Linked DNA regions of Macaca mulatta. The protein of the gene in region 2 purifies or fractionates together with the protein of the main gene of each other region. This does not show direct contact. Links are inferred from orthologs where the notes say so. Each region holds a gene or a part of one and is shown on either strand. Other genes may lie near its edges. The genes, in order: TDRD3, FXR1, ORC2, G3BP1 and CEP63.

What was found.
Region 1: the proteins of FXR1 (region 2) and TDRD3 purify together in Homo sapiens (affinity purification with mass spectrometry; 3 studies listed by BioGRID and IntAct, with this or other methods). This does not show direct contact. The link is inferred for Macaca mulatta from reciprocal best matches to the Homo sapiens genes FXR1 and TDRD3.
Region 3: the proteins of FXR1 (region 2) and ORC2 purify together in Homo sapiens (affinity purification with mass spectrometry; 4 studies listed by BioGRID and IntAct, with this or other methods). This does not show direct contact. The link is inferred for Macaca mulatta from reciprocal best matches to the Homo sapiens genes FXR1 and ORC2.
Region 4: the proteins of FXR1 (region 2) and G3BP1 purify together in Homo sapiens (affinity purification with mass spectrometry; 3 studies listed by BioGRID and IntAct, with this or other methods). This does not show direct contact. The link is inferred for Macaca mulatta from reciprocal best matches to the Homo sapiens genes FXR1 and G3BP1.
Region 5: the proteins of FXR1 (region 2) and CEP63 purify together in Homo sapiens (co-immunoprecipitation; 3 studies listed by BioGRID and IntAct, with this or other methods). This does not show direct contact. The link is inferred for Macaca mulatta from reciprocal best matches to the Homo sapiens genes FXR1 and CEP63.

What each region holds. Positions count from the first base shown.
Region 1 is NC_133422.1:39,862,493-39,868,873, reverse strand, and holds the start of TDRD3 (tudor domain-containing protein 3), read right to left. Parts: upstream 3,980-6,381; 5' UTR 3,841-3,979; coding exon of another isoform or gene 3,800-3,840; intron 1-3,799. UniProt on the Homo sapiens protein: Scaffolding protein that specifically recognizes and binds dimethylarginine-containing proteins. Plays a role in the regulation of translation of target mRNAs by binding Arg/Gly-rich motifs (GAR) in dimethylarginine-containing proteins.
Region 2 is NC_133407.1:92,987,362-92,993,739, forward strand, and holds the start of FXR1 (RNA-binding protein FXR1), read left to right. Parts: upstream 1-2,500; 5' UTR 2,501-2,515; coding exon 2,516-2,566; intron 2,567-6,378. UniProt on the Homo sapiens protein: mRNA-binding protein that acts as a regulator of mRNAs translation and/or stability, and which is required for various processes, such as neurogenesis, muscle development and spermatogenesis.
Region 3 is NC_133417.1:106,071,773-106,078,175, forward strand, and holds the start of ORC2 (origin recognition complex subunit 2), read right to left. Parts: upstream 4,136-6,403; 5' UTR 3,965-4,135; intron 2,841-3,964; 5' UTR 2,772-2,840; intron 1,624-2,771; exon of another isoform or gene 1,281-1,623; intron 1-1,280. UniProt on the Homo sapiens protein: Component of the origin recognition complex (ORC) that binds origins of replication. DNA-binding is ATP-dependent. The specific DNA sequences that define origins of replication have not been identified yet.
Region 4 is NC_133411.1:160,740,919-160,745,922, reverse strand, and holds part of G3BP1 (ras GTPase-activating protein-binding protein 1), read right to left. Parts: intron 4,978-5,004; coding exon 4,876-4,977; intron 4,294-4,875; coding exon 4,182-4,293; intron 3,965-4,181; coding exon 3,836-3,964; intron 3,414-3,835; coding exon 3,304-3,413; intron 349-3,303; coding exon 142-348; 3' UTR 1-141. UniProt on the Homo sapiens protein: Protein involved in various processes, such as stress granule formation and innate immunity. Plays an essential role in stress granule formation.
Region 5 is NC_133407.1:37,590,659-37,596,364, reverse strand, and holds part of CEP63 (centrosomal protein of 63 kDa), read right to left. Parts: intron 5,672-5,706; coding exon 5,532-5,671; intron 4,480-5,531; coding exon 4,342-4,479; intron 2,727-4,341; coding exon 2,612-2,726; intron 1,729-2,611; coding exon 1,531-1,728; intron 1-1,530. UniProt on the Homo sapiens protein: Required for normal spindle assembly.

The DNA.
Region 1 (6,381 bases), on a different chromosome or scaffold from region 2:
ATATTTTATGACTGGTTGAATCCAAGGATGCAGAACCCACAGATATGGAGGGCCAACTGTATTCTTAAACCTCAAAAAATACAGAATGTACCAGATTTTCAGATAAGCCTAGTACGCAATTAGTTGATTCACTGCAAGGCAAAGATTTATTTGATTCTAACAGGATCACCCCTCAGAATAGGCCCTTTATCTTTCCTCGACTAGGAAAGTAAATTTACACACCACAAAATGCTTCAACCCAATTTTCAATTTTAAAATGTGTCACTTTTGATCAATAATTTAAATTAGATGTGGTCACTTCTGTTAATTTTTGGTGGAAATGAGTACTGAATCTTTACTCTAGACATCTGGGCTCTATTCTTGGTTCTGCCATTTATAACTGAGCAAATTATTGAAAACTCTGTGCTTCAGTTTTCTCATATGTACAAAGAGAGAGTTAAAGCTATGCAACACTGATTCCACGGAAGATACTCTTTTTTTTTTTTTTTTTTTTTTGAGACAGAGTCTTGCTCTGTTGCCCAGGCTGGAGTGCAACGGTGCAATCTCGACTCACTGCAACTTCCGCCTCCTGGGTTCAAGCGATTCTCATGCCTCAGCCTCACCAAGTAGCTGGGATTACAGGAGACTGCCACCACGCCTGGCTAATTTTTTTGTATTTTTAGTAGAAATGGGGTTTCACCATTTTTGCCAGGCAGGTCTCCAACTCCTGCCCACCCGCCTTAGCCTCCCAAAGTGCTGGGATTACAGGCATGAGCCACCACCATGCCCAGCCAGAAGATACCTTTTCAAAAACAAAAACACAACTGATTAGGTACCCCGTGACATGTTTCTGTTAAAAACAAACAAACAAAGGATGAAGATGGAAGAGAAAAATTCAAAATGTCCAGAGATCAACCTTTTAAATCTTTCTCCCACAAGTAGAATTTTGTATTTCCACTCAGAGTGATCAGGGATATCATCCCAAAGGAGAATGAATCTCTGAAGAGAGAAAACAAAAATGCAGAGTGAGTAATACTGTTATCTAGATAAATTCAGAGTCAGATTTCTTTTCCCCATGAAGTTATTCCACTCATATAATTAAGCTTTACAAGGTACCATTTAGTGCATTATTTAAACATAATCACTATACTGTAGAAAACCCTGAAACATTTAAGTTCAAATCAGCAAATCGTTTGTGTGCTACTGGCCATTGAAGAAAAAAAATTATTTTAAGTCTGCCAGGTAGCTACTTTTGAAGCTATATTTTAAAATATTGATTTTTACAGCGGTTCTAATGAAGATTAAAACCTTAAGAAGGAAAAAAATTGCACTTAAAAATAATGGAAACTTGAACAGATTGGTCTACATAGATCTTCTGTACCCCCCTGAAGATCATATTTTCAGAATTGTAAACTTTTCAGCACTAAATATTTCCCTAATCTGCTATTTTAGGTAAAGCCTGTAGAACAGATTTAACAATAGTGTTTCCATGTTTTAGCATCTGTTTCTTTTTAGCTTCTACAAGTAACTACGCACATACATTTGAATACGAAGAAAAATGGTTTGTCAGTGACAGTAACAGAGAACCCCAAGTATAAGAGCAAACTCAGGATGTAAGAACTAAAATGAGCTAGTGAAAGCCCTTCAGTCAGAAATTTTCCTTCCAGTGCTCTTTTCTGCCTTTAAACCTTTGTGATTCTAAATTTTAACATAGTAAGTCCCTAATTAAAGACTTCGTCGAAGCCACCTGAAAGCCTAGGAGATCCTCATGCCTAGTCTGTTCAAGACCTAGCAGGAATTACATGAAACTCACAATTCCTAGAAAGATAGTCTTATTAGCCCCACAGATTACTACTGCCTTTATGAGTTACTGCCACACAGAAGCAGCACAGACAGGTGGGAGAAACATAAACAGATAAGTTGCAATACAAAGTAGCAAATGCTACAATATAACATTGCTGAAGATTTACAACAATATCACAAAGCAGGGTGGGACTCTGCCTAAGCTTCTGCAGAGGCCCTGTCCGGAGAATTCTGACTGGCAGGGGCATTCCAAGGTCAACTGTATTAGACTTTACAAAGAACCTACAATCTGGTGCACTTCTTGACAATCCAGATAAGGAGAAAAATAAGACTCAGTTCCCTGCCCTGGAAGAGCATAAGAGGCCACAGAAAACAAAGTCAGCATGTGTTCGGGACCTAAAAAATGAGACTAATCTTTCCAGAGGAGGCGGGGTCATGTTGGAAAGTAGTAAAATACTGACTTTGTAAATGAAAATATTACTAGTGTGAAGGATCAACGCTCAATCTAATGATAAATGGGGAGAAAGGCAAATGAAAGAGCGACCCAAGATAATTCAGGACACCCCTGTGGGTAAAAAAAACTAAAAGAAGAGATTCCTATTTAACAAAAACAAAACTGAAGCCAGTGAGTTTTTAACTCTACAATCTTTTACGCCAATGCTGTTCTGTGAAAAAACTATAGGAACAATAACGCATAAGAGTTAAAGGAACCAGGACCAGAGCCAGGCCCTCTGTGCTCAACATTCAACTCCACCACTTTCTAGCTATGTCACTTCGGGAAAGTTACTTAACAGCTCTTTGCCTCAGTCTCCTCACCTGTAAAATGGGGTGTTTAACAACACAAGGGCCTTTAAAACCAGGAAGGGCTTCTTCAAAACACAGTTGTGATTATATCCCTCCACTGATCAAAAACTTTATTCACAAAATCAAATCCACATCTTTCACGAACCATACAGATCTTGTGTAGGTTCTGCAAAACAATAAGCGCTTCCCAGTCTCTAGCAGCTCTGTGCTAGAAAGCCTTTTCCTTACCATCTTCCCAAGTCCACTTCAGGAAATTAACTCTCCCTCCCATTCCACAGTGCACTCATCTGTTACTCTGTACATACGGTTTACCACTATTCCCCCTGGTTTTGTTTGGTCTTTTAATGCCTCACTCTTTCTTCCAAAGCAGTAATTGCAGAGAGCCAAGGCAAATCTTTTTCATCCCCGTTCCTACCCTTCATCCCAGAATGTGCCTGTGCAAGTCTGGGAAAAGCGTTACTGAATTAAACCGGATGATTACAACCGTAATGGCCGCAATTCCAGAAACTGCCTAACTTCACATAATTCTGTATTGTTTTCAAATCCTGAAAATCTTGACACGAAAGGCCTCTTAAATTCAGAACACCATCCTTTCAAGAAAAGTTCTACCGAGCACCCCCCACGAGTTGACAATGCGGTCATTCTTAGCTCCAGAAGTTGTGTGTGTGACGCGGAGGGCAGCTTCACACTGGTCCACACTATACTTTGAAATAAGGGGCAAGAAGAGGCGGCTCCGACCGCAGCGCAGGCTGTGTGCCGCTCTGCCCTCAACTTCCTATGGGCCCGCGGGCTCCGCCGCGTTGGTCCCTCTGCTCCGCACTTCGTTCCCAGCCTTCGCCTCCCCTTGTCCCGCCGCAGAAACACCCCCTCCCCGGAGCGGCAGCGCGAAGGCGCTGCAGGTCCTCTCCGGCGCTCCACTCGGCCGGGGTCTGGGCCGCCACCCGCCCGGCTCGCGGCCCCCGGCCTCTCCCCAGGCCCGCCGCCCGCCGCCCGAGGCCCAGGCCGCTGCCGCCGCCGCCTCGAGGGGACACAGGGGGACTCGCTGGGCTCGCGTGGCGCCGGGGGCGGAGCCGGCCCGGAGGGCCCGGGGAGAGGCCGGGGGCGGACAGCAGCCTCCGCCTACCCCGACACGTACCCCGCCGCCCCCAACCCAAGCTCCTCGGGGCCCCGGCCCGCGCCAGCGGCCCGGCAGCCGGCGGGACTCGCCACTTACCAACCCGCCTGGGACAACGCCGCGTTGGCCACCTGGGCCATGGTAGCTGCTTAAGCCGGGGGTGGTGGGGGGTTGGGGTGGGGGTGGTGGGGAGGCCTCCTACTTGAGACCCCCCCCCCAAAAAAAAAAAAGAAAGAAAAGAAAAAACTCCTCTGGTCGGCTCTGCAACTGGGCATGCTCAGTGCGGCCGGCGCTTCCGCGTGCGGGTTCCGCTCGCCGCGTTTTCTGAGCGGCCGTAGGGGCCGGCCTGGTGTGGGGCTTCCAGGCTGCCGAGCTCCAGGACCTGATCCACCAAACACGGGCCGGCGGCTAGGGTCAGGATAGCTCAGGGACTTTGCCTCTTCCCCGAAGGTTTTTACTTGTTTTGGGGGGCACTCTTCTGAGTTGCACACCTTGGAAAGTCGTGAGGAGGTTCTTCGTAGAGCAAAAGTGTGGCGTTTGCAGCGCCGACAGGCGGCCACCTCAGAGAGGGCAGGATAAGGCCTGAGGAGACTGACGGGTTGGCTGCGAGGGAGCGCGTCCAGGATGGCGCTAAAAAGGTCACGTTGCGGGAAGCCAAACTCGGAGGTGTCCCCAGCCCATTCTACACGAAAGTTTACTTTTTTATAAAGACTCGTTCCCTTCCCCTCGCCTTTTGGTCCGCCGGGACGCAAAGAAAAAATGCAGCTCAGCCTTGAGTCCCCACGGGCAGATCGAGTTGCCCAAGTCGGACACCACAGTGAAAATGACTGGTCAGCCCAAGAAAACCTGCTCTTAGGGAATATGGGGAAATGGGGCGGTTGTGTCAGTGCTTGTTTTTCCTGTTGCCCTCCCCCTGGGACTATCCGTGTCCCAGCGCGGCCCTGAGACCTTAGCTCTGTACTGCCGCGTCCGGCAACCACAGCCGCCTCCCCGCCGGTGCCCTTCGCCAGCGCTCCAGAGGGCTGGGGCGCGGGGTGGGTCCCTGAGTGGGCATGCGCGGCGCCGTCGCCGAGCGGCACGGCGGACGCTGCCGTGCGATTGGGCGTCCGTGACTCACGCTGGCCAATCAGAGAGGAACAGGAGGAAGGGTACAGGCGCTCCCTGAAAGATTGCTCCACCCTCTTGGTCTTTCACTTCTGCGGCGTCCAGTAGGGCTGGCAAAGAGACTTTTGAGGGGTACTGTCCCCAGCTGCCAGGTCGGGAGAAGACTGTTACGAACTTAACCCCAGCTCCGCCGCTTGCCGCTGCTGCTTCTAAGGGCATCATCAAAAAGAGACTTGGAGCAGAGACTGCGGAACTGGGCAGAGGCGCTCTTGGGATTGGGGAGGAAATTGACAGTTACGGAAGGAAGGGGATAATTGCCCAGGGTGGAGCTAAAATTCCTTAATACAGATTTTTCTCATTTCAGCTGGGATATTCCGTTTGGTCTTCCCAAAAGTCATAGATATAAAATCGCGATGCTTTCCTTAGATGGAATGTATTGAGATTTGCTCCCAGGCATATCGTTTAGATAATTTTAAATCAGAAGTAGCTCCATGCTGTTCGCTACAATGTGCCGTAGTATGTAGTGTTTAGGTGATAAGTATACTACAGGTATATTTCAATTTATAGTCATCGGCCATCATATCCAGGAACCAGGAATAGATATGCCTTTTTAAATGTAAGTAGATGACTCAAAAATAAATTGCCAATAATTTTTATTGGTGGTTAGAATTTTCTCTTACCAATTATTTACATTTTGCAGTTAGTGTAACCTGTTAACTATGAAAATGATAAGTTGTCCCAATCATCAGAATTGCTCACTGGTTATAAAGCCATTTGTTCTCACATGCCATGTGATTCAGTAAGGATTTACCACTGCATGGTCCTTACAATAATAAAATACTCCACAAAATACTAAATTCCCTTCAAGAATGGGATTTTTACTGGAGAAATGTGGGACAAATGAGCATCCAAAAAATGGTGACAATAATTGATGAAACACATTGAATTTCTTCGGAGTGCCACGAAAAATAAAAGGGAAGGAGGACAAAACCTTTTCTTTCAGCGGAATACAAGATAGTAAATGCAGAACAAATGATAGAATTAGAAAAATCACAATTTTCCAAGTCAACCACAATTGTTTCAGGAAAATTTATCAGAAGATACTAAAAGTCACAGGGTAAAAGACTAGGAGTACAGGATCTTCACATGGTCTCAAAGTATCAAGCCATAACTTATTACAGAAGGGAAAATGTACCTTATCTTGAAAAAAAAAAAAACCCTGCCTTAAGAGATCAAAGCTAGAATCACTAATAATGGGACACTCTAATGTAATCTGCCTACTGATGTAATGCAATTAGACATACACATCACTTAAGAAGTATTCTTGCCAAAATTGTTTAACCTGAATTTAACCAAGCTTCTGGACAGTGGATCCTAAACTAACCCCCACATCCCCAAATCCATTTAGCAATGTCTGGGTTGTCACAATCTGAGGAGGTAGGAGTATTGTTATGCATCTCATGGGATGCAGCAGGAATACTGCTAAATATCCTACAAAGCACAGGACATCCCTGAACTCCAAAGAATGATCTGACCCAGAATGTCAGTAATGCTAAGGTCTAGATGTAAGAAGAAAT
Region 2 (6,378 bases):
AATGAGTCGTAATACATTCTACAACATGGATGAAACTATAAAACATTATACTAAATGAAAGAAGCCAATTACATATAGGCCAGGTGCAGTGGCTTACGTTTGTAATCCTAGCACTCTGGGAGGCTGACGTGGAGGCAGTGGATGGTTTGAGCTTCGGAGTTGGAGACTAGCCTGGGCAACATGGTAAAACCACGTCTCTATAAAAAATGCAAAGATTAGGTCATGTCTGTACTCCCACCTACTTGGGGGCTGAGGTGGGAGGATCGCTTCAGTTCAGGAGGTGGAGGTTGTGGTGAGCGGAGATCAAGCCACTGCACTCCAGCTTGGGCAACAGAGCAAGACTCTGTCTCAAAAAAAAAAAAAAAAAAAAGCCAGTCATAAAACACCACATATTCTGCAATTTCATTTATATTAAATATCTAGACTAGGCAAATCTATACAGGTAGAAAACAGGTTAGTGATTTCCTAGGGCCTGGGGAGTTGGGGTTACATCTAGAGCGATTGCTAACAGGTATGGGGTTATTTTTGCAGTGATGAAAATGTTCTAAAATTGACTGTGGTGATGGTTGCACAAATCTGTGAATATACTAAAAACTACTGAATTGTACACTATAAATGGGAGAATTATATCTAAAGAAAATGTTTTAAAAAAGTAAATAGGACATTATAATTCTGAAGGATCATGAGATACGATATAAAGTGTTAGCATAAGACGCCCTTAATAAATCGTGGCTATTACTCATTGATGGGCATTTAGTTTGTTTACATTTTTCTCATTGTGATCAACACTTTAAAAAGAACATCCCAGCCCACTGTGGGATGGCCAAGAGTTCAGGGTTACAGTGAGCTATGATTGTGTCACTGCACTTCGGCCTCGGTGATAGAGATCTCGTCTTAAAAAAAAAGGAAAAAAAAAAAAAAAGGCTGGGAGTGAATAAATAGGTTGGGCACGGCAGCTCATGCCTGTAATCCAGAGGCGGGTAGATCACGAGGTCAGGAGTTTGAGACCAGCCTGGCCAGCATGGTGAAACCCCGTTTCTACTAAAAACACACAAAAATTAGCTGGGCGTGGTGGTGTGCGCCTGTAATCCCAACTATTTAGGAGGTTGAGGCAGGAGAATCACTTGAACCCAGGAGGCAGAGGTTGCAATGAGCCGAGATCACACCACTGCACTCCAGCCTGGGCGATAGAGCGAGACTCTGTCTAAAAAAACATAATAAATCAAATCAAATCAAATCAATAAATATTGTAGTCCCAGCCACTTGGGAGGCCCACGTGGGAGAATCACCTGAGCCTGGGAAGTCCAGGCTGCAACGTTTATCACACCACTGCATTGCATCTTGGTAACAGAGCGAGAACCTGTCTCTAAATAAATAAAGAGAATATCCTGTACATGACAACAGCGAGCACTTTCACAGCCCTCATTTTCCCCCAGAATCTTCAGAGATGCAGACGTGCTCATAAAATTTATGTACATTTTTTTTTTTAGAATCTGAAAAACTGGGTCAGTGGGCATTTCATGGGAATTACAGAATGTTAGCAAAGTATCCTTTCCTAACTTTTTTTGCGAAAATGGTAATAATGTAAGTATAACGAGAAACACTTATAGTATTATTTCCAAAGCCCTTGCTTAGGGAAGAAGCTTCAGTATTAAGTTGTTAAAATCCATACCCAAAGTATTTGTTATGCTTACAAAACTGGAGATGGTTCTGCTTTGATCCTATTTGTGGAACTCTGCATACATTTAGCAGAGGAAAACGTGGTCTCCTGCTCTATTGTTTGTCTGACTACTTTTAATAAGGCGAATTCACCTAAACTCTATTCTAGGGTGGGAACACAGTTGACTTGCACTGAAAATACTCAGTTTGACTTTTAAATAGCTAAAGTGGTAACAGGTGGGGAGAGGGCTAGACCAAATTGTTTGAGTGGATGTGGAACTGTGGAATTTGAGTCAAGAGAAGGCCCAACTTTTTTTTAAAGAAAGAGCGGGGCTAAAAAACTTGGGGCACAATAGTATGTCTATTTTGTAGGCGTCCCTCTTCCCCAGGGCAACTGGAGCCCAAAAAGTGTATGATAAAGCCATTCCAGGGCAGCCAGCACTTCCAGAAATTTAAGGTCAGGATGCCGGAGGGCTGGGGAATGCCGATGTGCCCGACAGGCTGTGCCTGGGCAGTGGCAGCTGGAGGCACTACTCGGCCGCCGCGGTGCGAACAGCGGGCACTGTGGGGCGGGGACCTAGGGGCGGGTCAACAAAGGTCGGGCGATTGTGTCGGGAAGCAAATCCGACGTAGACGGCGGCGGGCGGAGCTCAAGGCCAGTGATGCAGGGTGCGCAGCGATCCCACCTGGAGAGTCGGGGCGGCACGTTGAGACCCCAGGGGTGAGGGGCGGGGGATCCAAATCCCCGCCCTGTTTTCCCCTCCCCTTTCCCCGCCTCCTTCTCGCCCCTCCCCCCTCCTCCCCTCTGGTTGGAAAGTTTCTAGAATCTCTTCCCAGCGGCCTTTGCGGTTCCAACATGGCGGAGCTGACGGTGGAGGTTCGCGGCTCCAACGGGGCTTTCTACAAGGTACTGACGGTTTTGCCACTTTGTCTAGTATTCTGGGGGCTGGAGCGCGTTTGAGGGAGGGTTGGTGGTCCCAGAAAGTGAGGTTTGGATTGGAAAGGAGGCCAGGCCAAAGCTCGAGGCCGCTAGATTCCTTGCTTCTCCCCCCTCCACCCGCGGTTTAACGGTCTCGGGGGCCGGGGCTCCGTTATGTTTTGAAACAACACGTCGGACGCCTTTTGCATTTTCCTAGTTATGAGCCTTCTTGGTTGCTAGTACGGTTCTTGGCGGGCCGGTGGGAAGCAGCTCAGTGGCTGCTGGGCGGCGTGAGCTCCCTCGGAGCAGGCCGGAGCTCTGGGAGGTGGGGGAGTCGTGAAAGGAGGCGGTGGGATTGTGTGGTCACACCCGCTCCCCCGCCCCTCGAACTGGGCCGGGCGGGAGCTCCTCAACCCGCTCCTCCGACCCCTCCCCACCCCCTGGGGCGGGTGTATCGCGGAATCTTTGGAATTCACCCTTGTATTTGAGTTTTGGGCCAACAAATCTTTAGTGCCTGAGGAGAATGAGGGTACCGGATTGAGGGTTAGGATCGAAGACAGAAAAGCAGAAAACCTTGAATTGTGGCGGGTTGGAATATTTTTGCGGCCTGGGAAATTGGGCGGCGCCTTAGCCCCTCTATTACGGAATAAAAGGAGAGTTGTGTGCTTTAAAGTAAGATTTAAAATGCGAAATGGATCAGGGAGATAGGTGGAGAGGTGACTAATTTCTTTATATCACTGCCCCTGTTTTTGGAGGGAGGTATTGTTTTGTTTTGTTTTTCCCCCACGAGGTTTTTTTGTTTGTTTGCTTGGGGAGGAAGGGCATGCATTACTATGGAATCGGGGCTGAAAAACGTAAGAGGAATAGAGTAGAGGAATTTGGTGGGGCGTTCAGCGTTCACATATCTGAAAATGAAATCCTAATGTTTATTTTTTGCTGCTATAGCATTCTTTTCTCCTTATTTTCCCGAAATATGCCAGGCCGTTACAAGATCAATACAGAACCTCCCCAGCTGTTGTCTGTCAGTCAATCTCACTAAGCCAGCATCTCAAATGTTTGAGAGTCTTGGCTATTTTTATGAAGGGCCGCCTTCTAATACATGAGTATTGTGCGTATGCAAAATGAATTCTCACAGGTTTTCATTTCAGGGTACCTTTTATCCCTTGGGTTTTTATTTTATTTGGCCATGATTTTCTATTTTCAGGGTTTTGTTTTTCCTTTCTTAGTTTACTGATTAGCTCTGTGGATTTGGTTTAACTGTCACGTGGTACTAGCATAATGGGGAATCACAGCGTATAAAGGATCCCCCTAAGCTTTTTGCAAGTTTAAATCTCCTTAGGTGGTAAACTTAAAGTAGGAACAGTGCCTGTTGGAAATGAGACGTTATGTTAATGCGTGAGTAGTTACATTAACGTTCTTGGTTTAAGACTTGATGTCAGACCAATGACCTAGGTGAAATTTGAGTACATATTTAATTGACTTTTGTTGTTACTGAAACCTGGTGGTTGCTTTCCCTGGACGACTGAAGATACAGTTCTCTGGGTAAGACGGCGCAAAGACAAGACTTATCCATGTTTTTCCTGTCAAGTGTAGATAAGTCATTTTGCATCACCCCCCACCCCTTTCCCTAAAAGTTTTAGATTCTCACTATTTGGCTATATAGTTCTGGTGTAAGGGAGGTATGCATGTTTTCTTGCACATTGGAAAAAATAAAGTGATTATTTTGCTTTAATTCATGGTTCTGCATCATGCATGTGGTAGACAACTATCTTTAGCAAAGTATATTTGTCAGTAGCGTGCTATACAAGATTTTTTTCCTTTTTTTAATAAGGTGAAGATAATTTGTTTTAGTAAAGATTGTTTGCAGTCTTTGGTTTCTCACGGTATTTTTTTTTTCCAGTCAATTCACAATGAATCAAATGTCCCCATTTTGGAACTCTGAAGTATTTATTATTGATCTCTATACATACTCTACAGTCTACTGCTTGTTTCTACTTAGACTTTGACTCCATTACTCATTTTGCCTCACAAAGTGAGTTGGTACTTTGGCAAAGGTTGGAAAGGACACTAGCCACATGTGTGTGCACTGAAACCATGTACGCTTGAACACTTGGAATTTTATGTCCAGCCATAATCCACTTGCACATGCACTTTGTGGAAACTCTGGTCTTCAGAACTCTGGAAGAAAGAGAATGGAGAAGTGGAAAAGAGTCCTGGATTTGAAGTAAACAGATGAGAATTCTAGGTCTGTACTTCACCTTACCATAATCTAACAATGGACCCCTGAACAAATCTCTCTGTCTAACATGAGGGGCATGAAGTAGTTCCGTGATCCCCAGTATTTTTTCATCCTATTAAACTGCTGACTTGAAAAACATTGGTTTATTGCACAGAAATTTATTGCTTTTTAATCATTAGAATGTAAAAGTTGAGGTTAATTTACATACAATAAAATAAACCTTTTTTGGTGTACGGTTATGAATCTTGATAAATGCTGACAGTTATCAAGATTAACTGTCACCTTAACTGTGGTGGTGTCAGCATTTATCAAGATTCATAGCCCCCAAATTTCCATCATGCCCTTTTCAGTCAACCATTCTTCAACCCCAGCTTCTAGAGTGTTTTCTGTCCCCATAGTTTTTCTTATTCAGAACACTACGTATGTAGAATTATACAATATATTGTGTAGTGTTTTGAGTCCGGCTTCCATTTAGCATAGAAGCAATTTAATTTTAATTAGTTTTTTTCCAATTTAGAAGATAATGCATGGTCACTGAGGGAATTTTGGAACTCAGCAAAAACTAGAAGTTGCCTTGAGATGAGAGCTGTTAACATTTTGTGTATTTGTTTTTTTACGGTGTTTTTCAATGTACAGGTGATTTGAATTTCCCTCTTTTCCCCTTCTCTTAACCCCATATAGGCAGAAGACACACATTTGGCTATAAGCATGAATTGCCATTGATTAGTTTCAAAGTCAGTTATACCTTGAGGCAGTGCTCTGTAGACTTTGATTAAAGTTTTTCTAATAGAACTGAAACTTCATTTCACAAATTAATTGGAACCAATGAAACGCTGAAGATCTGAATATTTTACCTAAAATTAGGGTAGCCTTTAAAAAATAGTATGTACACAAATGATGGCATACTAAATACATTGTTCTGCATTTAACAGTGGCTCTATAGTTAAAGAGATTAGAAACTTGATTTGTGCATGTTCGCAGCCCTAAAAATCTGTGGGGATGAGAGGGAATGGGAAGATGTTAATTAAGCATTTGATGGTGGGCTATGCTGTTATATAAAATAACATTATAGCTTTTGTACTTCTCATACCTAGAGTAGCATCTTAGGTTTTATACTACCGGGCATTTAAGGTGTCTTGAAAAATAAAGTTTTATTGAGGTAGAATGTATATTCTATAAAACTAACCTTTTTTTAAGTGTACAGTTGAATGACAGTGTATTTACAGAGTTGTGTAACCACCACCACAGTGTTCCTTCAGAACATTCCATTACCCCAAAGAAACCTCCGACTCATTTGCATCATTAAAGTGCTTCTTAACTGTTGTATAAATATATATTAATCTTTGTAATAGCATTGCAATTTTTATGGCCTTGGGCTGAGTATAATTTTATTTTTATTTTTTGAGACAGAATCTTGCTCTTTTGCCCAGGTGGGAGTGGAGTGGTACGATCTCGGCTCACTGCAACCTCCACCTCCCAGGTTCAAGTGATTCTCCTGCCTCAGCCTCCCGAGTAGCTGAGGCTGCCGGCATGCGCTACCACGGATGGCTAATTTTTGTAA
Region 3 (6,403 bases), on a different chromosome or scaffold from region 2:
ACATCTGGATGGAGTGGGAAGATAGGAGGACAAAATTTGAGTACTTACAATGTGCTAGACATAGTTTTGAGTACTCCATATGTATTCTCATTTAATCTGCACAACTCTATGAGGTTCATACTTTGTGTACAAAGATAATAAATACTGGGCTGGGTGCAGTGGCTCATGCCTATAATCTCAGTGCTTTGGGAGGCTGAGGCAGGGGGATCCCTTGAGGCCAGGAGCTGAAGACAAGCCTGGTAACATAGTAAGGCCCTGCCTCTATCAAAACAAAAAAAACAAAAAAAACAAAAAAAAAAAACAATTAGCTGGGAGTGGTGGCATGTGCCTATAGTCTACTTGGAGGCTGAAGTGGGAGGATTCCTTGAGCCCCAGAGTTCGAGATTACATTGAGCTACGATCACATTGCTGCACTCGAGCTTGGACGACAGAGTAAGACCCTGTCTCTAATTTTTTTTTCTTTTTTTTTGAGACAGGGTCTGGGCTCTGCCACCTAGAGCAGTGGTACGCTCTTGGCTCACCACAACTCCGACCTGGGCTCAGGTGATCTGTCCACCTCAGCCTCCCATATAGCTGGGCCTACCGGCTTGTGCCACCACACCCCCGGCTAACTTCTGTGTTTTTTGTAGAAATGAGGTTTCACCATGTTGCCTAGGCTTGTCTCAAACCCCTGGGCTCAAGCGATCTACCTACCTCTACCTCCCAAAGTGCTGGGATGATAGGAGTGAGCCACCACACCAGGTCAAAAAAATTTGTTTAAACAAAAAATAAAAAATTATGGACTTAGCTATGATATGAAGGAAAAATTTTAGAAATAAAAATAAAAAATAAAGATAATAAATACTTCATCTATAACTTATGACCACTGCTTGTAAAACATGTCCTCTTGGGCCTTCTTTCTAGTCATGATACTGCTTCCTATTATGGGGAATCTGGGTATATTAGAGAAAAAGTTTAATCCATTTACATATTTGTATAAAATAAAGAAACAGGTTTTTTGAGGGCACTGTTTGTGAGGCACTGTATTAGGCACATTTATGTACACCAGCTCATTAAATCCTCAGATTCTCTCACATAGGTATTTTGCATCTCTCTCTTTATATGTATAATGTCCCCAATTTACAAATGAGTAGACTGAGGCTAACTCATTAAATATTAATAACTCATTAAATTATTAATGCCAATACACACAATTATAAAGTCTATTAGGGTTGAAATCCAGGTCTGACTCATCCTAACTTCTTCTTTTTTTTTCCTTCTTTTTTTTTTTTTTAAGACAGAGTCTTGCTGTGTCCCAGGCTGGAGTGCAGAGGCTCAATCTCAGCTCACTGCAACCTCCGCCTCCTGGGTTCAAGAGATTCTCCTGCCTCAGCCTCCCGAGTAGCTGGGACTACAGGTGTACACCACCACACCCAGCTAATTTTTGCACTTTTAGTAGAGATGGGGTTTCACCATGTTGGCCAGGATGGTCTCGATCTCTTGACCTCATGATCGGCCCGCCTTGGCCTCCCAAAGTGTTGGGATTACAGGTGTAAGCCACTGTACCTGGCAGATTACTAACTTCCTGACCACTCTATTACACCACATACCTCTCCTGCCATCAAATAAAAATGTTATCCTAAATGCTTGGTTTTTTTTGTTGTTCTGGGTTGTTTTTGTGGGGGTTTTTTTGTTTGTTTTTTGAAACAGGGTCATTCATCTCTGTCACCCAGGCTGGAGTGCAGTGGTGTGATCTCAGCTCACTGCAACACCTCACCTCAGCCTCCTGAGTAGGTGGGACTACAGGTGTGCAATGCCAAGCCTCGCTAATTTTTGTATTTTTTTGTAGAGACGGGGTTTCCCCATGTTGCCCAGGGTGGCCTGAGCTCAAGCGATCTGCCCACCTCAGCCTCCCCAAGTGCTGGGACTGCAGGTGTGAACTACTGTGCTGAATGCTAAATGCTTGTTTTGACCTCTGAAAACCATTCATAATAGGTCTAGTTATTTCTCTACATGTCAGTTAGGGTTAGGGTATTCTATAGCCCGTAACTATAGAATGTCCAAAGAATTCTATAGTTTCTCTAACTTTCCAGTTCATTGGGTGAAACATTACTAGTTCTATCAAGCATACTTCAAAGAGCATGGCCAGAGTCAGCATAATCTACATTATTTTACTTAATTATATGCTGCCATGTACTACAAAGGATTTGAAGCAATGACACGGATCAAATGTGATAAAACAAATTATAAATTATAAATGCTAATAGGGAGTCTACACCAGAAAAAATATAAAGGAAAGCAGAAAATAAAATCACAAAACGAATTTTTGGCTCTGAGCTTCCTGGTAATCAAAGGAAAAAGCAAGTAAAGGTCTGTTACATAATTCTTATTGGCCAAAGTTTAGTTGTTCTTGGGGATGGGGGGGACGAGATTTTCTAGGAAAATTTAAAAACAAATATTCTAGGCAACTGAGTATTGTCCTAGGCAATTTCCCTATGGTATTCTATATAAGAATTGCCTGGACAGAGGCATCCTCAGTCTTGTTTGTAGCCAAATGCATTTATACAAACATTTCCTTTTCTAATTTTGGAGCATCTTACTAAATAGTACAAAATCACCAAATTAAAGAAAATGTCTACAAAGACCTCATGAGAAACGTTTCCTTCTTTCCTTTCCAACAGTTCCTGAAAAACAAACACACAAACAAACAAACAAAAAACCTAACAATCACACAATAAAATGCAATATTTAGTGACCATTATGACCCTTCAAGGCACTGCCTTGGTGCTTACCTGTCAACCCCTTTCAAGGAGTTAACTTCAAAGCAATTCAGCAGCACCAAGTGTTAGCAACACACTCTCCTTTGAAAGCAAATGAAAGATTTGCTGTAATTTTTAAAAACATAATCCTTTGAAAAAGGTTGGAGAGATTAGTGGTTAAGCACCAATTTTAATATCAGAGAAACGTGAGTTCCAATCTCCACTCCATACTTTATAACTGTGTGACTTTGTCCAAAGTCCTGACGATTAAATGAAATCATGTGCCTGATGTATAAAAGAGCATCACTGAATGCTCCCAATTATCGGTAATTTTTTCTTTAACCTTTTTCTTTTTTAGCTCCTTACTGCAGTACACACTGAGATATTTTTACTTTAAACTTCAACTTCACCATGCAGATTTCTTGTACATCTCTAACTCATTCAACATCTAACAGAAAAACTGCTCAATAAGTGATGATGACCGTTTAACGTGCAGTGCCCTTATACAACGGTGTAGGACCGTGCTATTTTTCTTCAGATTACAATTTAACTGGGGGAAAGTGTAACGATTCTATTAGGATTTCAATTGTAAAATGAAAAGTAACGTCTCAACATCTTTTTGATTAAAAAGCTCTACCAAAAGGGCCTGGCTTATCAACATTTTACAGCCAAGCGTGGCTCCAAGGTGACCGATCAGTTAGCAGGACACATGGGTGCCTCCAGGCTGGGATGACATCAAAGGTTCTAGCTACAGTGGTTCTGGGATGCGATCTCTTCCTCTTCATACCTCACAGGGCACTTTACCACTTTCGTTACAGATCTTCACAGTTCTTTTCCAACCAGAGGGCTTCGTAAGCTGGGAATCAGGTATGTTAATATTAGGCGTCCCTTTCACAAAAGGCTTTTAACTGCTGGGCAGACTAACGAAAGGTCCTCCCAGAGCGAGCCTCTCACCTCAAGTATTAAAGGACTTTGGCTTGCGCCTCCAACCTCTGGCCAGTTGGCTGCGCTCCACCAGCAAAGGGTTCTCGAGCCCCCGGGCAGCCTGCGGGGGGCAGAGAGGCGCAGAGACCATGCCCCGAGTGCCGAGGGAAAGCCCTGAGATGCGCGACGTGGGACGCTGGGGGCCAAGCTCCGACGCGGGGCTGTGTGCACCTGGATGCGCCCCACAAGCCGCGAGCTAAGCAGAAAAGGGAGGCAGGCTGCTCCGACACCCCACTACTCACCGCTAGGTTTCCGCCTGGCGCCGATCCGGCCGCCTCACGCCGGCCGAACGACACCCCGCTGAATCGCCGCCGCAGGGAAAGCACCTTCGGCACCAACGGGAGAAGCCAATTTCTAGTAATTCACGCCCGACGACGGCGGAGGTAAGGAGCCCTGCAGGCCAGCTGGGGGATGGGAAACCTGCGTGCGGCACACCGAATCTCCCGCCCTGTTCAGGGGGCGGTGCCCGGGGAAGCCAATAGGAAGAGGAGTCGGCCAAGAGCGACGGCTGTGCCGGCCAGTCGGCGCCGGCCACTCGGCCCCGCCCATCAGGAAACCTGAGGAAAACGGATCCTTAGGCCCTGAGTTGTGGGCCTTATCTTTCCTTTCCTCTTTCCGTTTCCGGGGAAGGGAGAAGGAAGTGTTGTGTGGATGCGAGGAAGTTTGCGGAATAGCTGGCTGAGTGGTGGCTGTGTACTTGGGGTCGGGCGCAGTGGCTCACGCCTCTAATCCCAGCACTTTGGGAGGTCGAGGCGGGCGAATCACCTGAAGTCAGGAGCTCGAGACCAGTCCGACTGACATGGAGAAACCCCGTCTCTAGTGAAAATACAAAATTAGCCGGGCGAGGTGGCGGGCGCCTGTAATCCCAGCTACTCGGGAGGCTGAGGCAGGAGAATCGCTTGAACCCGGGAGGCAGAGGTTGCAGTGAGCCGAGATCGCGCCATTGCACTCCAGCCTGGGCAACAAGAGCGAAACTCCGTCTCAAAAAAAAAAAAAGTGTTCGTTGGTTTCGCCAGGTACCTTTTGAAGAAAAAGGTAATGGAAATTGATTCGTGTTTCTTTTTTAAATATTTTCTTCATTTGGCGTGAAAGGTAGGATCTTGTACATCTCCAGGGTTTGGAGTAGGGAAAAGAGACGTTAGGAGAAGCACTGAATTATGGAGATGGGATCGGACGGCTAGTGGGATGAAGAGGCTGGGGAAATAGAATGAATAGACAGAGTAAATGATTGACTTCAACTATCCAAAATATAAAAAAGACAAGACAGAGAAAATGAGGAAGAAAAGGAATGAACCTGGATGGGATCCATACAGTATTAAGAACAGGGTACTATTTCATTTGGATTCACTGACTCAAAACAAAACAAAACTACAGAGTACTCTGCGAATCAGAAGATAAGGATTCAGTATATAGCGAGACACCTACAATCTCTGCATTCACTATAGTTACCTAGCACTTGAAGATATTGAACGGAAAATATTGAGAAAAATGCTATTATATGGGAAGTGCATTGGAGCACATGGTAGGAGTATCTAATTAAAAGTCCAGAAGGAGTCAGGAACAATTTTCTTGGAGGAAGGGATGTTTAAACTGAAACCTGAGTGTTGAATAGATTTAAAACAGGTCAAGAGGGGTGACATTTTCCAGGTAGAAGGTCCAAATCCGTGTAACAGCTGTGTAAAATGCCAAGCGTTGGGTCTGTTATTATGAAGGGCTTAGTTGGCCGTTAGGGCACTGGTCAGATTTGTATTGAAAGATCTTTGGATAAAGGAGGTAGGATTGGGAGGGAAGATACAGAGTCACGAGATTTGGAAGCTGTTTAGGAAATCCAGTTGAGAAAGAAATGATCGTAGCCTTGATACCTCATTATTCTATTTTGGCTAGGTGGAGTTAAGAAAACAGAAGAGAAAGGCAATTTTTTGTGCATTGTAAATAAAAAGAATTTGGGGAGTGACTAGAGACAGAAGATAAAGAGAACATAGCTTAACAGTTAACAACGATGTGCTTGAAGAGTGTTTAGAAATGTGAAGATGACTATCTAGCCCAGCATACACACCTGTAATCCCAGCTACTTGTGAGGCTGAGAAAAGGAAGATTGTTTGCATCCCAGAATTCCAGGATGCAGCGAGCAGTGATCTTACCTGTGACTAGCCACTGCACTCCAGCCTGGGCAACACATTGAGACCCCATTTCTCAAAAAAGAAAAATTTGAAAAAAAAGATGAAGATCTAGGAATGTTGAATAGATATGTTCTACTTATGTGTCTTTTATATATATATAATTTTTTTTTTTTTTTTGAGATGCGGTCTCCCTCTGCCTGCCCAGGCTGGAGTGCAGTGGCTATATCACAGTTCACTGCAGCCTGGACTATCTATTCTCAACCACACCTCCCACCTCAGCTTCCTGAGTAGCTGTGACTACAGGCGCACGCCACCATGTCCGGCTAACTTTTGTATTTTTTGTAGAGAGGGGGTTTCACCATATTGCCCTGGTTGGTCTCCAACTCCAGAGCTCAAGTGATCCACCCTCCTGGGCTTCCCAAAGTTTTGGTATTACAGGAGTAAGCCACTGCACCTGGCTGTTTTTTAATATTTCTCTGATGTCAGTAAACTCCCCTTCATTCCTCTTCTTTCCACATCTTGAAAAAAGGCTTCTACAGACCACAGAGGCCTTGGTGTGAG
Region 4 (5,004 bases), on a different chromosome or scaffold from region 2:
ACACAAAAAAAGTAAAATTATACAAACTTAAGCAGTTTATAACAGACTGGGGTCATACTCCAAGATACCAAAGGCTGGTCGAAGATTTCACCATTCTGTTGGAACTAGGGTTTGTATGACTGCGTGAAGATCCATGAAGATTCACTGCCGTGGCGCAAGCCCCCTTCCCACTCCAAATCCTGGTTTCTGCACCATGCCTCCACGGGGAGGGCCTCTCATTCCACCACCCAGCCCACCTCGAGGGCCTCCAGGTCCCCGAAGGCGATTATCTCGTCGGTCGCCTTCCCTGGCAGCTCGAGTCTTCTTCTCTTCGACATTCAGACGGACCTCACCTCTGAACATGATAGGCTGTAAGAATCAAGGTGACCAGACTTAAGAGTAGTGATGAGCTATCACTATCAAAGAAAGCTATAATAATGAACCAGCAGAGGCTGGGCAATGGCTCATGCCTGTAATCCCAGCACTTTGGGAGGCTGAGGCAAGTGGATCACGAGGTCAGGAGTTCAAGACCAGCCTGACCAACATGGTGAAATACCATCTCTACTAAAAAAATACAAAAATTAGCCAGGCATGATGGCACACGCCTGTAGTCCCAGCTACTCAGGAGGCTGAGGCAGGAGAATCACTTGAATCTGGGAGGCAGAGGTTGCAGTGAGCCAAGATCGCACCATTGCACTCCAGTCTGGGAAACAGAGCAAGACACCGTCTCAGAAAAAAAAAAGAACCAGCAGATTATAAATCAGCTAAATTCTCACAGTTCAGTTTTTTGTTTGTTTGTTTTTTTAATGCGACAGAGTTTCACTCGTCACCCAGACTGGAGTGTAATGGCACGATCTTGGCTCACCGCAACTTCTGCCTCCCAGGTTCAAGCGATTTTCCCTGCCCCAGCCTCCAGAGTAGCTGGGATTAGAGGCGCCCACCACCACACCTGGCTAATTTTTGTATTTTTAGTAGAGACAGGGCTTTGCCATGTTGGCTAGGCTGGTCTCAAACTCCTGACCTCAAGTGATCCGCCCGCCTCAGCCTCCCAAAGTGCTGGGATTACAACAGTTCAGTTTTTAACTGAGAACATACAATTTACCATTAACAAATACCTGGAAAGGTGATTAGGTAGGCAGGCCAGTTTTAAAAAGCCATTTTAAATAGCACAGCAGCACAAGTTAACTCTCATCGTACTTATTTTTTCTCATATAATTATGTAAATTGAATAAAGAATTGCCACCTTCTCCATAGATTTGGAGGCTTAGAATAAAACCTCATCACCGCCAATGCGAAAAGATGGTACTGTACATATTTATGCAAAGTACGTATATATTTAAAATAAAAACTTCATTAATCTGACATAAACTTTAACTTGTTCTTCACCTCCTGAGAAGTTTGGATAGTCTTGGGCTTCATTTGCTAACAGAGCCAAAGTTACCAAACATTTCAATATATTCAATTATGCTCTTCACCAGCAATATAATTTTCTAATTTCTTAAAATAAGCATCTAACAGTACTTACTATGTGTCAGGGAAGTGTTCTATTCAAATTTATTAACTCACTTAACCTTTACAACAACCCTCTGAAGGTAGATACTTACTTTAAGGACTAGCAAACTAAGGACTGGGGAGGTTAAGTAACTTGTCCCATGGGTCACAACACTAATGAGTGATGAAAGGAGAATGTAAATCAAGGCCTCCAAACTGGGAAAAATAAGCTTTGAACCACTAATGTACACTACAGTATGTCATACACCAGGGCAGTCAGTCTTACATAAGCTACTTCTGCTCACACAAAAAATTACTGAAGGAAGCATAGTAGACTTCTATCAATATCATGAAATGAAGGGTGGCCACTAGGCCTAACAATGTGCTGAATGATGGATTTATCTACAAAGCCTACTGGACATTTCTGAGTTCTTCAGTGGCTTTGGTGAGATGAACCACTGTTCTCTCATTTCTCAAACAGTATTTTGCAGGAGATGCTTCACAAAAATATGTGGTAAAATAATTTGAAAGATAATGTATATGTGCATACTCAGGTTGACATAATGTTAGGACCACAACACTAAACTATGCAGTATGGCCAGGTGCACTGGCTCACACCTATAATCCCAGCACTTTTAGGGAGGCCAAGGTCAGTGGATCACCTGAGGTCAGGAGTTCGAGACCAGCCTGGCCAACATGGGGAAACCCCGTGTCTACTAAAAATACAAAAAAATCAGCTGGGCATGGTGAGGGGCACCTGTAATCCCAGCTACTCAGGAGGCTGAGGCAGGAGAACTGCTTGAACCTGGGAGGTGGAGGTTGCAGTGAGCCGAGATCACACCATTGTACCCCAACCTGGGCAGCAGAGCGAGACTCTGTCTCAAACAAACAAAAAAACCCTTGCAGTATGCCCATTAGCATTCTAGAGAATATCACTGATCTGCAATATTTCTATTACATGGTTTAAAGTACACAATTTTAATCCACAGGGACAGAAAGCGGATTAGTGGCTGCAAGGGGTTGGGGAGACAGGTACAAGGAATGACTGCTTAGTGAGTAAAGAGCTTATGGCTTTTAGTAAAAAACTTTTGGAATTAAAGGTAATGGTTGCACAATATGTGTTCTAAATGCAATTAAGTTGTACATTTTTAAATGGTTAATAGTGTTATGTAAATTTCACCTCAATAAAAAAGTATAGCTTAGTAAATTAATATTATTTATACCCTTGTTCTTCTCCACTACTACAAAAAGCAGTTTTTTGCTAGGGGAGGGGAAGCTTTCTCTGGGGCTACCACAGTAAGATTTCCATTCTACAAATTCTTCTATTATTAGAATTTACAGGGTAAGAGTACTGTTAGTAAGGGTGGTTCCAAGTAGTCTGACTATATAATTTATCTTCCAAACCCAATTTATTGACTTATAGGAGAAGTTCTTAATAGTTAGTCTCTACAAAACAGCAGTACCCCAAAACAGCCCTGGGCAAACTGGCTCTTATCTAATAGTTAAAAGTAGGTTTGTATTTCACCTCCTGTACACCAAAAGCCAATACCAAGGAAAGGTAGTTACGTAAATCTCAGTGCACTGATAACTATTCATTTTCTCATTCTCACAATTCATGTTTTCAAAAACTAAGTTATTTAAACATAAGTTTCATTTTTCTAAACCCCCAGGCAGGTCTTTTAACAATAGTTGAAAATAATGGAATAAATTACCTGAATATGTTGGAATAAACTGCACTTTACATAAAGACCCAGCTGTAAAGATAAATATATTCTAAAGAACCAAAACCTTTAAAAAAAAAAAAAAAAAAAATCAAGATGAAAAGCTGCTTACCCTGTTGCTAAGGACCTTCTGAACAGGCTCAGAATCATCAAACACAACAAAACCAAAATTGGGTAATTTCCCACCACTGTTAATGCGCAACTCCACCACGTTCCCATAATCTGCAAGTGAAACAGATTCTCAGATAACTACTTAGACCATTCCCTTTAAACATTCCATGTACACAGTCCAATACAGTAGCCACTGGATGCATGTGACTACTGAGCACTTGAAATATAAATACAGCTGGTCTGAATTGAGATGTGCCTCTCATAAGTGTAAAATTATGGGAGGCACATTTGGATTTCAAAGATTTATTATGAAAAAGTGTAAAATATCTCTCACAATATTCTTACATGTTGAAATGACAATGCCTTAAGAGTTAAATGTTATTAAAATTATCCAGTTTCTTTTTACCTTTTTTTTTCTTTTTACCATGACTACTAAAAAATTTATAATTACGTATGTGGCTCATTTTCTATTTCTACTGTACAGTGCTAGAGAGACACTAGATGAATTTAGTGTTCAAAACTCAATAACCTACTTTGAAAGAAATCTTTAAGCTCTGATTTGTCCACTTCATGAGGCAGGTTGCCAATGAAGAGTTGGTGACTGTCAGGGTGTCTCACCATTCTTCGGGGTTCAATGTCACCTTGCTCACCAGCCTCACGGACTTAAAAGGAGACAAAAACATCAATTAAAGGTAAGAGAAAGAAGACATCTTTCAGTGACTGCTCACATTCAATAGTTTTCCCTCTACCGTAAAAACAGGCAATTCCATCAACCCTACAATATTTTTATTTTAAAGTATATAAATATCAACTGCCCTCCCAAAATAAGCTCTCACCTCAAAATCCCCCAAACGAGAAATCGCCCTTCTGAGCTCTTACTTGGTCTGGGTCCCCTTTGGGGAGGAATATTTATTCGCTGTTCTCGCACTCTTTGATCCCTTTGAGGTCTCTGTGGTGGAATCTGAGATTCAGGCTTAGACTCTGGACGGGGCTGAAAAATTTTAAGTTAACTTTTGTGTTAAAACAAAGCAGGCTTATCCTTTTTCTTAATGAAGTTTCTTAGCTAACAAGTTTTAAACTAGAAAATGGACAATTCCCTAACAAGAAAAATCATTAAAAACCACCTTATACCCTTCTCTTCTGTCTTATATATCAGTTTTGTTTCTACATTGATTTGGGTTGTTTTTTTTTTTTTTTTTTTTGAGCCAGAGTCTCACTGTGTTGCCCATGATGCAGTCCAGTGGCACAATCATGACTCACTGCAGCCTCAACCTCCTGAACTCAAGCAATCCTCCCACCTCAGCTTCCTAATTAACTAGGACTACAAATGCATGCCACAAGGCCCGGCTAATTTCTTATTTTTTGTAGAGACAGGGTCTCACTATGTTGCCTGAATTGGTTTCAAACTGGTAGGCTCCAGTGATCAGCTGGCTTCAGCCTCCTAAAGTGCTGGGATTGCAGGCATGAGCCACACTGCACCTGACCAGTTTTCACACTCTCTAAACCTCTGTTGAATCAAATTACCAAAATATAAGTACACTTGCCTAATGTACAAGTTTTATTAAGACCTTACCTGTGAAGCTGGTACTTTAACAACATGAGGTGGTATCCCAGTAACTGGAACAGCTCCACTGGGTGGAAGGTTCTTACTGGTCACAGATGCCCAAGAAAACGTCTAAGGGAGCAATACCAACATTACATA
Region 5 (5,706 bases), about 55 Mb from region 2:
CATTTGAAAATATTCCTTCTGGCCGGGCGCGGTGGCTCACCCAGCACTTTGGGAGGCCGAGATGGGCGGATCACAAGGTCAGGAGATCGAGACCATCCTGGCTAACACGGTGAAACCCCGTCTCTACTAAAAATACAAAAAAAAAAATTAGCCGGGAGTGGTGGCAGGCGCCTGTAGTACCAGCTACTCGGGAGGCTGAGGCAGGAGAATGGCGTGAACCCAGGAGGCGGAGCTCGCAGTGAGCCGAGATCGCGCCACTGCACTCCAGCCTGGGCAACAGAGTGAGACTCCGTCTCAAAAAAAAAAAAAAAAAGAAAATATTCCTTCTTTCCTTGGCTTGGCAAAAACTATCTGATTTTCCTCCTCACTGCTCCCTTTTTTTAAGCTTCATTCCAACATCTTTTACACGCTAAATGAGAAGTATCCTAAGTTTGGTTTCAGTCACTTCTCTTTTTATGCTATGCTTTCTCACTATAATCATTAAGTCTCTCAGGGGGTTTCAAATGTCACCATGAAGAAAGGACAGCCACAGCTAAATACCTAATCCTGATTTTAATCTTTAACTCCAGGCCTTCTGTGGAAATGACTATTATCCACACAAAATTCCAGCCTTTATTCCAAACAAATGTGTTAAACCAAAGTCCTCTCCACCAGTTTCCCCAGTCTGTGTACTTTTCACACAAATTCATTATCCTTCGCCAAACTAGATCCCTGTCTTTTCTCTATTTAATTAAAGAGCATCACTTTCCATCAGTTGCCTAAGCTTAAATCCTGTGGAACACCATTTCTTAACTCTGCCTACCTCACCCTCCCTGCCAATCAAATACAATGCCCAGTCATTTTTACCAGCCCAGTATCTCCAGAATTCATCCATTTATCTCTCCCTCCCTTACCCACTGCTCAGGCCACCATCTTACCACTGTAACAGCATCTGGGTGCTCTGTCTCCCTGTTTATTCTCCATTTAAAGACCACTGAATTTTACTCCTGCTTGTGGCCACTGCCTACTGACCTCAAGGTCACAGTATAACTCCTTTATGTGGCTAACAGAGCCTTTCAGCAGCCAGTCTCTGCTTTCCAGTCTCATACCTTCCACTCATCCCACGTGTACTCTAGTTTCAACCACAGCAAGCGTGTTTCAACCACAGCAAGCGTGTTCTACTATCTCTTAGAGACCTCTGTATTTTCCTGTGCCTGAAATACTTTTCCTTCCCCTCACCCAGCTCGCTCCTAACTTAGCTTTGCTATCACACCTTCTGGAAGGCCTTTGCAGCGAGTGGTCTAGATTCAGGCTGCTTGTGATCTCTAGTGACTCTCATCATACACCACTGATATAGTCACTTTACTTGTCTGTGTCTACTCTCACCTCTGCACCACCCTCACTAAACTCTCTGTTAACCAGCATACCCTCAGCTCAAAGCAGGTATCTAATAAAAATTCACTGAATTAAATATTATGAAAATTATGTCTTTAATCAATTCCATCTTTAAAACAAATTTCAAATTTAAAAAAGTTTTTGTTCAGGCTTCACCTTATGCTCTACTGCTTTTTCTTCTGCCTTTTGAATCTCTGCTTTGAGTCGCTTTTCCATGTCTGAGGAAGAACCTTTGGTGGAAGCAATAGAGATATCTCGCTGATGTAACTCCTGAGTTAGATGGGAGATTTCCATCTTCATTCCTTCTAGTGCAGAACTGTAACTTTGTTCACCCTGTAAAATCTGTTCTTTCAACTATAAAGAAAGCAGAAAAGAAAGCACCAAAAGAGAAAGCATTTAGATAGAATAATATGTTACCAGCTAATAAAATAAAAGCTTACCTTATCTCAAGACATTAAATTTCTCCTGAATTAAATCTGCAGAAAAATTAGCAATTTACCAAGTTGCATATCTGTACTGAAGGTCAGGTGGTTATACCTACAATCATTTATTATACCTCAAAACAGGGAGAGATGGGTTATTCAAGTGCTGAGGACCACAATCAAGGTCCATGCACACTATTTAGAGGACAGTACTTGTGACCTTCATTCTTTTTTTTAGTTGTGAATCTAAAAGTTTTGCTCATATGGTATCTTGGTCCACAGGATAACAAACAGAAAGAACAAGAGGAAGAAACAAGCGAGAAGTAATCTTCAAGAAGTAACAAAAAATACAAAACAACAAATAGGACAGTTAGGACCCACTCATATAGACACAAACAGCTCTGCATACCTCAATAGCTGACAAGGATACCAACCACATCACAGCACAGGAGACAATCCATAAATACTATGTTTAGGCAATAAGAAAATATTAAATGACAGTTCATATTTTTTTGCAAACACTAAGTGTATGTCTTTTAGAAAACTTTTCATTAAAACATGTTTAAAATAAAGTTTTTAAGTTCAAAGGGAACAGCCTTCAATTATCTTAAAAATATTTATTGGGCATCGGGGGGATGCCAGAGAAAGAAGGCACTTTCCCTATGCACATTCCACGTACTCTTCCACTCCTAAATATCAAGTGGCCCCTTGAACTACATTTTTCTCTCATTAAAAATAACCCCTATAATCTCCAAACCCACAGCTCAGTCCATAAACACATACAATTTTGCAATCCTAGGTATGCATATTTTTACCTTCTTAATCTCTGCTCTGTATTCATTGTTATGTGCTTCCATCCTCTTTAATTCTTCGTATTTTTCCATTAGTTCTTGACTCAGCTGTTTACATGTTGCACTCACAGATTCCAAACTGTATGACAAAAATAAGATCCCATATTTAAAACAAAACCAAAATCCCGAAACCTATAAATTGGACTATATAATTTACATTCTTGATGTCCAAAAAATATTCAGCCAATATCTTAAACATCACATCACTCATTTAAATATTACTAAAAAGCCAATCAATAAAAAAACTGTGATAAAAATGTAAATTGTTGTCCCAATGTCAAAAATAATAAACTTAATTTTAGTCAAATGGAAGAGTACACATATACTTCAATGATAACAAAGATTATCTCAAGTACTCCAAGTATTCCAAAAGGAATAAAGCAGAAAATATGTGTGTGTATGTATGTTTGTGCATTTAACATGTAGATAAAAGAAAATACTTACTGGTTTCCAAAACCAGAAATAAATGTAAAAACAAAAAATGTATTACTTAAAGATAACTTAAAAAGTGTAAAATGATATTTCTCTTGTTGTTTGCCTAAAGGTTAACAGTTCATGTTAAAAGTAATTTTATCTTTTACATACAGAAAATGCCAGTGTACAAATGATAATGAGTCATGTGTTTAAAACAAAATATCACACTCTTCCCAATCCAAAAGTTGAGAGGTATGAAAAACCAAAAAAAAAATTATAAGTACGACAATGACAAGAGTTTAGGTAGGTATGGTATAGCATTAGTCAGGATTCAATTAACACCCAAGGAAGTAACACCACCACAGCAGAACAAAAAGGAGGATCACCGTGTGTCAACTGTTACCCCTTCCTACCCTGCTTCCAAGGTGGCAGGGAGGACAACCTAAGTGAAGGGCTGCTAAACAGGTGAAAGGTAAAGAAGTAGAGTCAGTATAGACAATTCTTTTGAAGAATTTGGTCTTAAAGAGAAGTACAGAAATGTGGAAGTAACTTGACGGAGATATAGGATTAAGGGATGGTTTTTCCCCCAGATGGGTGACGTTATAGCATATTTTATACCAGTGGATATAATTCAGCGGAGAGAAAGAACTTGATGATGTAGAAAAGAAAGGATATAACTACAGAAAAAGGACACAAGTGGAGTAGTTGGTCTTAGAAGTGCAGAAAGGCACAGGTGTGGGAAGACTGGTAGTTTTGATGACAGAAAGATTAAGAAGTTCTCCTTTAATTGCTGCTGTCTTCTCAATGAAATAAGAACTTAGGGCAGGGCGTGGTGGCTCACACCTGTAATCTCAGCACTTTGGGACGCTGAGGCGGGTAGATCACCTGAGGTCAGGAGTTCAAGACCAGCCTGGCCAACATGGTGAAACCCTGTCTCTACAAAAATACAAAAATTAGCCAGGCGTGGTGGCGCACGCCTGTAATCTCAGCTACTTGGAAGGCTGGGGAGGAAGAATCGCTTGAACCGGGAGGCAGAGGTTGCAGTGAGCCGAGATCGTGCCATTGCACTCCAGCCTGGGTGAAAGAGTGGGACTCCATCTCAAAAAAAAAAAAAAGAAAAGGAAAAAAAAAAGAAACAAGAACTCAGGCAGTTTGTGGATGCTAGAAAAAAATCTTATTTTTTTCACTATGACTACTATATTCATTTACTTTATCAATATGATGATCAAAAATTCATTTTAACAACTTGAAATTTTTGAAATGTGTGTATAATTATGTACCTGCCTTCAAGACGAGTCACCTCTGCCTGCAGAAGTTCCTCACTAGTATGGGTAAAATTCAACTGCGAGAGCACACTGTCTAAGTCCCCCTGCCCTTGAGAGGTGTACTTCTTTTCTGCCAGAGATTCTTCCCGTAGCCTATGGAAAGACATATGATGACTGTTAAGGCCTTTATCTCTGCAAACACAAACAATGCACATCTAGTTTGTGTTTCCCAACCATTTTTGATAAACTCTTTGGAACTCTTCAGTTTGTCTCCTGCTTTATAAAAAGAATATTGGGAGAGGAAAGACAGTCAAGAGATGCTAAAAGTTATAAAAGCAGCAATTTACTCCCTTCTTAACTGGGATTTGGCCTATTTTTCAAGGGAAAAAGACAAAATGACAAAATCACTTCAGTGACACTTGAAACCTTGTACCAAAAAAACTGAAAAGTTACAGGAGAATTCTGGCAAAAATAAAAATGTACACCAGACTTACATCAAGCAAGAGGGTTAGCCCAATGGCTGGCTGCTATTATTGATAAGCAGCTACTAATCACCACCTACTCCACCAAGAAAGTGAGGCCTCCAGGAGACGTGAATGACAATTCCCTGCATGTTTGGATTTTCCCAAAGCATGCAAACTGACCTTGGCTTCTAACTTTCTAAACATGAGAGTCTCTGTTAGGGACCCAAACTGGTGGCAGAAGAAAATTAACCACACAAAATTTTATAACACTTTAAAAACCTAACTCAGAAGTTAAAGCCAATTAAGAAAATCCACAATACGATCAAACATAAAATTATGAATATGCAATATTAAAACCAGTGCTTGGACGGGCGTGGCAGCTCACACCTGTAATCCCAACACTTTGGGAGGCCGAGGTGGGCAGATCACCTGAGGTCAGGAGTTCAAGACCAGCCTAGCCAACATGATGAATGGCCATCTCTAAAAATACAAAATACTAGCCAGGTATGGTGGCGTGCACCTGTAGTCCCAACTACTTGGGAGGCTGAGGCTGAAGAATCGCTTGAACCTGAGAGGTGGAGGTTGCAGTGAGCTGAGATTGTACCACTGCACTCCAGTCTGGGCAACAGAAGGAGACTATCTGAAAACAAAATAAAAATAAAATAAAAATAAAAATAAGCCTAGTGCTTAATGCCTAGCCATTAAGTGGCTAAGATGAATACTATTTAAGATTAAATTGACCTTATAGCTTCTACAGCATGTTGAGTGTCAGTTGCCTTTACTTTTTCTTGTAACTTCTCCTTTTGCATTCTTCCCTCATGGATGAGATTTTCTTGAGACTGAAGAGCTGCCCTTAATTCTCTCTTTTCTTCCTGCAGAGCCTGCGAAAAAGTCAAATATGATTGTAATTTTCCTT